Tribolium castaneum: one gene and its partner. The protein of the gene in region 2 binds, or shares a complex with, the protein of the main gene of each other region. Links are inferred from orthologs where the notes say so. Each region holds a gene or a part of one and is shown on either strand. Other genes may lie near its edges.

Region 1 (4,241 bases), on a different chromosome or scaffold from region 2:
CATGGCCAATTACTCTTAAACCTTGTTTTTTCTTTTTAAATACGTATAATAAAAACATCGAATTGTTTTTTTATTTATAATTTATTATTTATATCTACATTATTATTTATATTATTTATATTATTTATATTATTTATTTATATTATTATATTATTATTTATATTTTTAAATTTAGAAAAAAATAAGCACATCATAAATGTCAGCCAACTAAAATTTCTATTATGTAATTACAGGTAAACAAATTATTAAAAAAATTACATTTTTAAATTTTTTATGAAAAAGTACCTCTGCAGTGTCTTTGTTTCAGATGTGTTTTTTATACAGGCTGCACAAAAAATGAAATCAGATTTTCTTTCAAGAACTTAATTTTTGTATATTTTTTGAATTTGTTTTCCTCAGCAAAGGTATCGATTGTTTTTTTTGTTTCCTACGGTGTCGAATGTAATATATCAAATTGGCAAGTTTTTGAATTGTTTTGTACATCATAAGACATTTGTAAATATGATCTGAAGCACCAAAAACGTAACCTTGAAGAGTTATATCTCGTGATAGAAGGCTCATAGGAACTTTTAATTCAGTTTGCTTCCTTTATCAGCTTCCGGGAGATTGTTCATCACTTTTGAATCACTCTGTGTAATAAGGAAGATATTTTTTTAGATTAAATTTCGCTAAAATGTCAACTTTTGATTAACTTTGTTGTTGTCGAAAGCAAATGATATAGCGGGATGTGGGTTTTGACCATAATTATTTTCTCGAATAACGAGCTTAAGAATGTGTTATTCGTTTTTTAAAGCCTTTTAGTTTTAACGATTTTTTATTTGAAAACCTAAAATGCACCTGTTCATCTTAGTAATAATAGTTGTTATTTTTTTATAATTGTCGTTATTCTCTATACATTAAACAATGTATTTTTATCAAAACAATCAATTTTCGGACCTTGTATACAACAAATGGCTCCTAGTGGTTTTTTATTTTTTAAATCATACTAACTGTTTCAAGACTATTGAAGTGCTAACGTCGCATTTTGTCTAAAAATTATTTGTTATGTTATTCATGCGCTTCAAAAAATTATTAGCTGATGTAATTTATTATTTCAACTATTTTACATTTTTGTAAACGTTATTTAGAAAAATAATTCGGTAAAGGGCGTCGTTGGCATTTTGAAACGCTAATTAGTCCATAATGAAATTTTAGGAAAACTGTTACACAAACTTGACAATAAGGCTTATTCCAAATCTGCGGCCTATTTTATAAAACTTTTTACAAGTGATTTACTTGTCACTTGTAAAAATCAACTTGTAGTTTTTATGAAACGGGCCCCTGGTGGCGAACTGACATTGCCAAAAATGACTGAATTTTAGCATTGAAGATAGATATGTTTAATTAAAAAAAAAATGCCCACAGGCGTCACAATAAAAAGATAAGAATATTGAACAATATAATAATAGTAATATTTCTATGTATCTTCGTCCTCAAAATTTATGTTAAAGTAAATAAGTAAATTTTAGAGAAAAAAATGCACCCCCTTTATTTCATTCTTTTAATGAAGTGGGTGCATTTCAAGAGTTTTTTTTTATATCACTGCCAGTTCGCCACCAGATATGGAACAACCTTTACCCAGAACAATGCAATTGTGGATTAAATTTGTTTTTTTTTTTGACAATTTAGTGGTCAACTGGAACCAGTATTATCCTAGTATTACTAGTTGCATCAAAAAATCTTCAGAAATAAGCCACAATTGACTCGCAATGTATATTTACACTTAATTTTGAGTTTCGCAAATAAATTTTTTTTGGTAATTTTTAGATAGGCAACACACTATACGGACTGCCTATCAACGGATCATCTAATTTTTTACTTTCCTTATTTAAAGCCGTTCCTTATTATATTATTGTATCGTTTTCCAGAGATTGGAACACGGTAAACTTGCTAAGTTTTTTTTTGAATTTGAAATTTTTTACACTAAACCAGAGCTGCCAATCTAGACCAACTGGTGGCAGGCTATGGTGGCAGGACTACATGTCAAATAGTTGATTTTGTTGTGGTTAAAATAAAAGGTGTTGCGTTTTCATTTTTTGTAATATTAAACTACAAATATCGAAATGGAGTGCATTGTGGCCAACGTGGACCACATAAAATTCGACATTGAAGTGGCTCTAGATGAGCAATTCGGCGCTTTGCCCTTACCATTTCCCGGAATGGACAGTAAGTGAGGTTATGTCGAAAATATAATTTTCTCGTTTTTTGCTTTCAGAATCAATTGCAGCCGTTTGTCAGTTTTACACTTCAATACAAGGCTGTCAAAAGGGCCCCCAATGTCCGTTTCGTCACGTGCGAGGCGACCGAACCATTGTGTGCAAACACTGGCTGAGAGGTCTTTGCAAGAAAGGCGACCAGTGCGAGTTTTTACACGAGTATGACATGACAAAAATGCCCGAGTGTTACTTCTATTCGAGATTTAACGCTTGTCACAATAAAGAGTGTCCGTTTTTACACATAGACCCTGAGAGTAAAATCAAGGATTGTCCTTGGTATGACCGTGGGTTTTGTCGACATGGGCCCCACTGTCGTCACAGACACGTGCGCAGGGTTTTGTGTACGAATTACTTGGCAGGCTTTTGCCCCGAAGGGCCAAACTGCAAGTATATGCACCCAAGGTTTGAGTTGCCTGCGCCCCCTGATCAGGTGCAGAAGGACAAGAAAGCCACTCCTGTTATTATTTGTCACTTTTGTAACGAACATGGACACAAGGCGATACATTGTAATAAGATGAATAGTGATAACAGAGACGCCTTAAATGACGAGAATCGAAAACAGAATGATCATTATGAGCCTCAGAACTCTTATTTGCAGAAAATGTTGCCTAAGAAGCTGGAAGATGTTACTTGTTACAAGTGTGGTACAAAGGGACACTACGCAAATCGGTGCCCTAAAGGGCACTTGGCGTTTTTGTCACAGGCCAAGAGCAATCAGGATGGACAAGGTGATCAATAAGAGTGGTGATCGTTTTTAAATAATATTTAAAGTTATTCAAACTATTGTATTTATTCTATAGGAAAATAAACAACAATTTTTACGAGTAGATTTATTTCGCCTTTTTCCAAAAATTAATCTAATTATTTTTCTTAGGTTACAGGCGTAGTTTTTTAGGTACATTATACCATTGTTTGTGAGGTGAGATAAAGCTGTTAGAGTTGTTCTCACAAGTGAGTAAATCTAGAGAAAATTGGAGAAAACAATGAGTCTGTTCATTTCATCACTACGAAAACTGATGCTAATGTTACAGGCGGATATTTACTTGAATTTTTTGGATTTTTTTCTAATGCACGTGTAAGATAAAACGTCGTATATCACACGTGATCGAAATACCGTTTTAAAGCTCGTGGGACACTCCCACTCGAGCACAAGCGCACTCGTGTGTCAAATTCTCACTTACATATAATGATCCATTTCTATCTCTTATAATATAATATACTATTATCTTACAGGAGCAGTTTTTTAGGTACATTATACCATTAAACTTGGTGAGAGAAATGAAATTTCTCTCATTGAACATTTTCTCGTCCTCAGAGTAGATTAACTGTCCTAAAGTTTTATTTAAAGCGTTATAAAACAAAAAAGGAGGCAACGGCACGCGGTGTTCCCAAGCGGTCACCCATCCAAGTACTAACCGCGCCCGACGCTGCTTAACTTCAGTGATCAGACGAGAACTGGTGTATTCAGCGTGGTATGGACGTTGCCTGAACGTTTTCTCGTCCTCAGAGTAGATTAGCTGTCCTAAAAGTTTTATTTAAGACGTTACAAAACAAAAAAGGAGGCAACGGCACGCGGTGTTCCCAAGCGGTCACCCATCCAAGTACTAACCGCGCCCGACGCTGCTTAACTTCAGTGATCAGACGAGAACTGGTGTATTCAGCGTGGTATGGACGTTGCCTGAACGTTTTCTCGTCCTCAGAGTAGATTAGCTGTCCTAAAAGTTTTATTTAAGACGTTACAAAACAAAAAAGGAGGCAACGGCACGCGGTGTTCCCAAGCGGTCACCCATCCAAGTACTAACCGCGCCCGACGCTGCTTAACTTCAGTGATCAGACGAGAACTGGTGTATTCAGCGTGGTATGGACGTTGCCTGAACGTTTTCTCGTCCTCAGAGTAGATTAGCTGTCCTAAAAGTTTTATTTAAGACGTTACAAAACAAAAAAGGAGGCAACGGCACGCGGTGTTCCCAAGCGGTCACCCATCCA
Region 2 (5,236 bases):
GAAATTCAAAGTCTGCGAATTCGCCTCGAACAGATGGAGGCCGAGCTGGACGCCAAAAATAGCGAATTCAAGCAGTTGGCTTTCCAGAAACCGTCGGATATTCAGGTAAAGTCAAAAATTTGGAAAAAATAAAAATTTAGTTTTTCTTGCATTCTACGCTCATATCTTAAAAATTTGGGGTAACTTTAAAGCATCGAAATGAAGCGAGTTAGAAACTTTCGTTTGTCACATATTTTTTTCTTTTGGGCAACTAGAAGTATTTGTAGTATTTCTCAAATTTGCTTTTCAATTTTCCCGTACACAAAAAAATGATCTGTTACTTTGTGAAAAAAAAATTCTTTGAAAAACTGTGATTTTCCCGCAGGCGTTGCAGAAGGAAAACCAGGAGCTCCAGGCGACGGCAAAATTGGCCCAATCCGAGCTGGACATCGCTCTCAGCGCCCACGAATCTCAGCGCCAAATCCTCCTCACGCTGAATTCGCAGCTGGCGTCGCGAGTACAAGAACTAGCAACGATCCACGACGAAATCACCACGGCTTTGCAGACGTGAGAGCTTGAAGACAGATAGCATCGTAATGTACGCGAACGCATTTATATTGCATATGTATAGGGTCCGTGTAATATCTTGCTTAGGTCTATAACTATGAATGTCTCGAAAAATATAATATTCATAACGTACGTACTATCGGTTATAAACTTTATACTTTATTTATTTACAAAGTGCCACCGCACAATTTATTAGGTTGTCTAATGTCCATGCATTTATTGAAATTGTGATGTGTCCGGACTCGCGTCCAAAGGCCAAAACGAACAAAAGTTATTTTATTCTGCAGCTTCCTTGATTAAAGTGGCGCCGTCTATTTTTTTTCCTTTCTTTCCTTCACGGATTAAGGAAGCTGTTTTATTCAGCTGCGATTTTTGGTTGTGTAAATGCCATTTAATTGTAGGATTTTCAAGTATCAAAGCGTTTTATACGTAACAATGCGTACTGTCGTGCAGCTTTCAGTATTTTGTTAATAGTTGCAGAATTAACATATCATGGGTTTTGTGTTTTATTATTGTGATGCGTTAATTTTGTTACTATTACCGAGCGCACATTTATTTTAGGTTTCATTTCATCATCGAGATTGACTGATTATTTATTTTACGTTATCATTTGAATCAAAATAAGTCCTCATAAAAACGTAGCGAATTACTTTATGTTGCCATTGTGAAATAGGGTTCTTCGTAGCCAAACACTAAGCTGACAATGCACACGTATTATTACAAGATTTTTTGTTTATTTATATTTTATTTGGTTGAAAAAGAATTGCTTGAGAGACGTTTAGCGCGTTGTTATAATTATATAGAAGAAATGTCTTTCAAGCACGTTTTTAACGTGACTTTCAAAGCAACAATAACGATAATAATGGAAATTTCTCAATACTGTACCATTAGAAGTCAGTGCTATAAACATATTGCACTTGTACTATAGGCGGAGATTTGTTCTAATAATAGGATGAGCTGATTATTATTATGTTGAGATTGTTATAATGAAGCAAAACTGTTTCCAATTTTTTATTTCTGTATAATGCAAGACCAAAATGTATTAGGCGATTTTGTTTGTAGAAATAGATGATTATTAAAAAAGTGACTTTTTGTGTGAAACCCCCAAAACACCCAGAATTCAGGCACATTTTAGGTGTGTATGATAAGGTCTAAGGGAGACAGCAAGGTGGAAAAACGTGTTGATTTGAATTTAAATTTTGTACCAACCTCAAAACCTAAAATTCCCCCGATTTCGAAAGTGATTTTTTTAGGTTATGTGTATCATGAAAGCTGCATAAAAAATAAAGTTTTTGGCTTTGGAAATCATGTCCAATAAACGCAAACCCGATTCCCAAGTCCCAGCCGAAGAAAGCGACCTTTTGACCATTAGGCCACTGTAATTATTCCAAAAATTACAATTTTGTGTTAACACTGTCTTGTAGGGGTGCCGGTCAGGAAGTGGGACGGTCTTGCATAATGCTTGAATTTAAAGGGAAAAAAATTATGGTCAGTTTGATCGATTTTTATTCGTTTATAAGACTTTAAACTTGTAGCTTGATTGTGGAATCCATCCTGGGCTCTCAGGCATGGATGCGTTGCCTTTCGTTGATTTAATTGAAGCCGACGAAATCGATTTGTTGCTAATATCACAGTACGAAACATTTTTTTTTCGTACATTAATAACTGTAACGTGAAATTCCAGTTTTCACCTGGACCATTGTGGGGCTTTGCCCTGGTTTTTGCAAAAAACGAGTTTCAAGGGTCGCTGCTTTATGACCCACGCCACCAAGGCGATTTATCGGTGGTTATTGTCAGATTATGTGAAAGTCAGGTAAATTGTGACTTAATAAGGGCGAAAAAAATTTCTGGTAGTTCTCCGTAATTATTATTAAAAAAAAATAAGATTTATGTTTTTAAACTGGCCCTTGACCTACTTTGATCGGAAATGTGTTCGAATTTGCAGCAACATTGCAACCGAACAGATGCTCTACACTGAGGCGGACTTGGAGGCTAGTATGGACAAAATCGAGACAATAAATTTCCACGAAGAGAAAGACGTTTTGGGGATCAAATTCTGGGCTTACAATGCGGGACATGTCTTGGGCGCCGCTATGTTTATGATTGAGATAGCTGGCGTTAAAGTACGACACTTAAATTTCAAACAACTTTATTGAAAATTTCGTTTTAGATTTTATACACTGGCGATTTTTCGCGTCAGGAAGACCGTCATTTAATGGCTGCGGAGATTCCAACAGTTCACCCTGATGTTCTAATTACAGTACGACTTAAATTTTGACTAACATTTATTCAAAAAAATATTACAGGAATCTACCTACGGTACCCACATTCACGAAAAACGCGAAGAACGTGAAAGTCGTTTTACGAATCTAGTTCACGATATTGTTAACAGAGGCGGTCGCTGTTTGATCCCCGTTTTTGCATTAGGACGGGCACAGGAGTTGCTTCTAATTTTGGATGAGTATTGGAGCCAACATCCAGATTTACACGATATTCCCATCTATTATGCTTCCTCATTGGCTAAGAAATGTATGGCTGTGTACCAGACTTACATCAACGCCATGAACGACAAAATTAAGCGACAAATCGCAATAAACAACCCGTTCGTGTTCAAGCACATCTCGAATTTGAAGGTGAGTTTTTGTAGCTGTGAGTATAGAAAATTTTATTACCAAGTTGGCAATGAGAACCATAACTTGAGTAGACTATAATTAATGCAATGATCACTGAGCTAATAATCGTATTATGAATAATTCGTAAATTCTGTCTGCGTTTTTTATCAAATTGTTATAAAAAACGAATGCATAAACGTACAAAAAAATGTAGTTTATTTTTACGGACTTGAAACTTATCAAGACATCGTGTGAGTGTAATAAAATTAATAAAATCGGTTCGGTGCGGTTATAACTTATCCAGTACGCTTGGAATATGGAAAAAATAATTTATTACGTAATAGAATATATTATTTCAGTAAAATATGCATAAAAAAATAAAAACTGGATTAACAAATAGTTATGAATACGCAACCAATAATACATTTTTAATCGTAGAAAAATACTTGTATGCCATTTTCACTTGATTTCGAATCGTTGCCCCACTTCGAACACATCGATTTCCGGCTTGACCTTATCGTAAAGATGTGGGAACGACCCCTCGGCCCCATACTTCCTCCGCACTTTCTCATACAACGTCAAGTCAAACATTTCCTCAAACTCTTCCCTAGTCATGAAAATATCGGCATACAAGAACGAAAAACCCCCAATATCACGCGTAAACTTCTCCATCTCCCTCATCGCATAAACAGGATTATACCGCTCCTTGCGTTTCACATACCCAGGCACCCCATAAATCCCCAAATCGTTGTACATTGCATAATCGGTCCCCTCAACGATATACTCCTTCCGGGGCGCTTTCAACTGACCGGAAGCCGGTCCTCTGTCATAAACCCGACATGGGTAGACCAGAAGTGGATAGGCGTCGAAAAGTTCGTCCGATTTATCGATTTGATCCTCAAGTTTGCGAATTGGTAGGACAATGTCTTGGAACACTTGTCTTGTGAAAGTGTAAACTCGTACGCCGGGGGTTGTCGTGAATTTGAGGAATGCTGGCTTTGGGGGCAACAACCAGCCGAAGAATAGGCGGAAAAGGGGGTTGTTGCCGAAGGGGATCATTGATTCAACGACCCAGAAAATGGCCCGGTTGTGGCGCAGTAAATACTCCCGTAAAGGGATCAACTCTGTGTGTTTGCCTTTTTTGAGGAATGTTTCCACGTATTTGTAAAACCACGGTTTGTACCAGCGATTTACGTGGTTTATCGGCAGGTTTGGGTCATAGTCGGAGTAAGACCCTGTCATTATTACGGCCCTTTCAGGGCTATAAATAGTCGCTTCCACGTAATCTTCAGTGGGATAATCGCCACTATCGCCTGACAATAACCTGATCATATCACAGTAGTTTTTCTTCCCTTCGACCGGAATATAATTCATTTTGATAAAGGGCTTGACTTTCACAAGTCTCAAGGTTAAGGCTACAAGAAACCCCAGACTGCCGTGTGACCACGGCAGGGTTTTATAAAGATCAGCGTTTTCGTTCTTCGCAGCCCTGACAAGACTCCCATCGTGCAAAACCACCTCGTACGAAACCACCGTTTCGTGGTACAGCCCCACTTTGTGTGAGTGCGTCGTCATGCCGGTGCCCAGCGCGAGCCCCCCGAGCGTGGCGTCGGCAATTTCAAGTGTCACAGCTAGGGTGAACCCCCGCGGAATTAAAAATTGCGTGATTTCGCCCACAGTGACCATGGGTTCGACCCGCACGGTCAGATTGTGTTCATCCAATTGCAGAATGTCGAACAGATCGACGTTGATTTTGTGGCACAGGTCTTTGCGGTAGAAGGTGGTGGAGAGGCTTAGCCAGTTGGGGCGCGCTGTACATAGAAGTTTTCGTTCGTCTTTGGGGATTTTGTTCCATTGTTGGATTTGTTTCTGGATCGCGCGGACGCGCGAATCGTGGTTTGTGGGGCTGCTGAAGAAAAACCGGTGGAGGGTTTTGCGGATTGTTAGGAAGAGGTTGAAAATGTAGCTGGCGGGGAGGCAGAAGAAGAGGACGACGAGGCCTCGGTGGGTTTCGAGGAATTCGACGAGGCGGCCCATCTGGAAATAAATAATTTTGCAAAATTGAGGGAAAAAACAGT

Evidence for each region.
Region 1: Cpsf73 (region 2) and Cpsf4 share a complex: the UniProt entries of both Drosophila melanogaster proteins name them as parts of the cleavage and polyadenylation specificity factor (CPSF) complex. The link is inferred for Tribolium castaneum from reciprocal best matches to the Drosophila melanogaster genes Cpsf73 and Clp.

The regions. Positions count from the first base shown.
Region 1 is NC_087394.1:10,089,207-10,093,447, reverse strand, and holds Cpsf4 (cleavage and polyadenylation specific factor 4, 30kDa), read left to right. Parts: upstream 1-2,044; 5' UTR 2,045-2,102; coding exon 2,103-2,205; intron 2,206-2,254; coding exon 2,255-2,994; 3' UTR 2,995-3,076; downstream 3,077-4,241. UniProt on the Drosophila melanogaster protein: Component of the cleavage and polyadenylation specificity factor (CPSF) complex that plays a key role in pre-mRNA 3'-end formation, recognizing the AAUAAA signal sequence and interacting with poly(A) polymerase and other factors to bring about cleavage and poly(A) addition.
Region 2 is NC_087396.1:20,618,243-20,623,478, forward strand, and holds the start of Cpsf73 (cleavage and polyadenylation specificity factor 73), read left to right. Parts: upstream 1-1,767; 5' UTR 1,768-1,853; coding exon 1,854-1,924; intron 1,925-1,970; coding exon 1,971-2,034; intron 2,035-2,081; coding exon 2,082-2,179; intron 2,180-2,230; coding exon 2,231-2,359; intron 2,360-2,491; coding exon 2,492-2,669; intron 2,670-2,716; coding exon 2,717-2,806; intron 2,807-2,852; coding exon 2,853-3,179; intron 3,180-3,473; exon of another isoform or gene 3,474-3,617; coding exon of another isoform or gene 3,618-5,195; intron 5,196-5,236. Other genes in the region: homer protein homolog 2, read left to right, coding at 1-105, 365-550; delta(24)-sterol reductase, read right to left, coding at 3,618-5,195. UniProt on the Drosophila melanogaster protein: Component of the cleavage and polyadenylation specificity factor (CPSF) complex that plays a key role in pre-mRNA 3'-end formation, recognizing the AAUAAA signal sequence and interacting with poly(A) polymerase and other factors to bring about cleavage and poly(A) addition.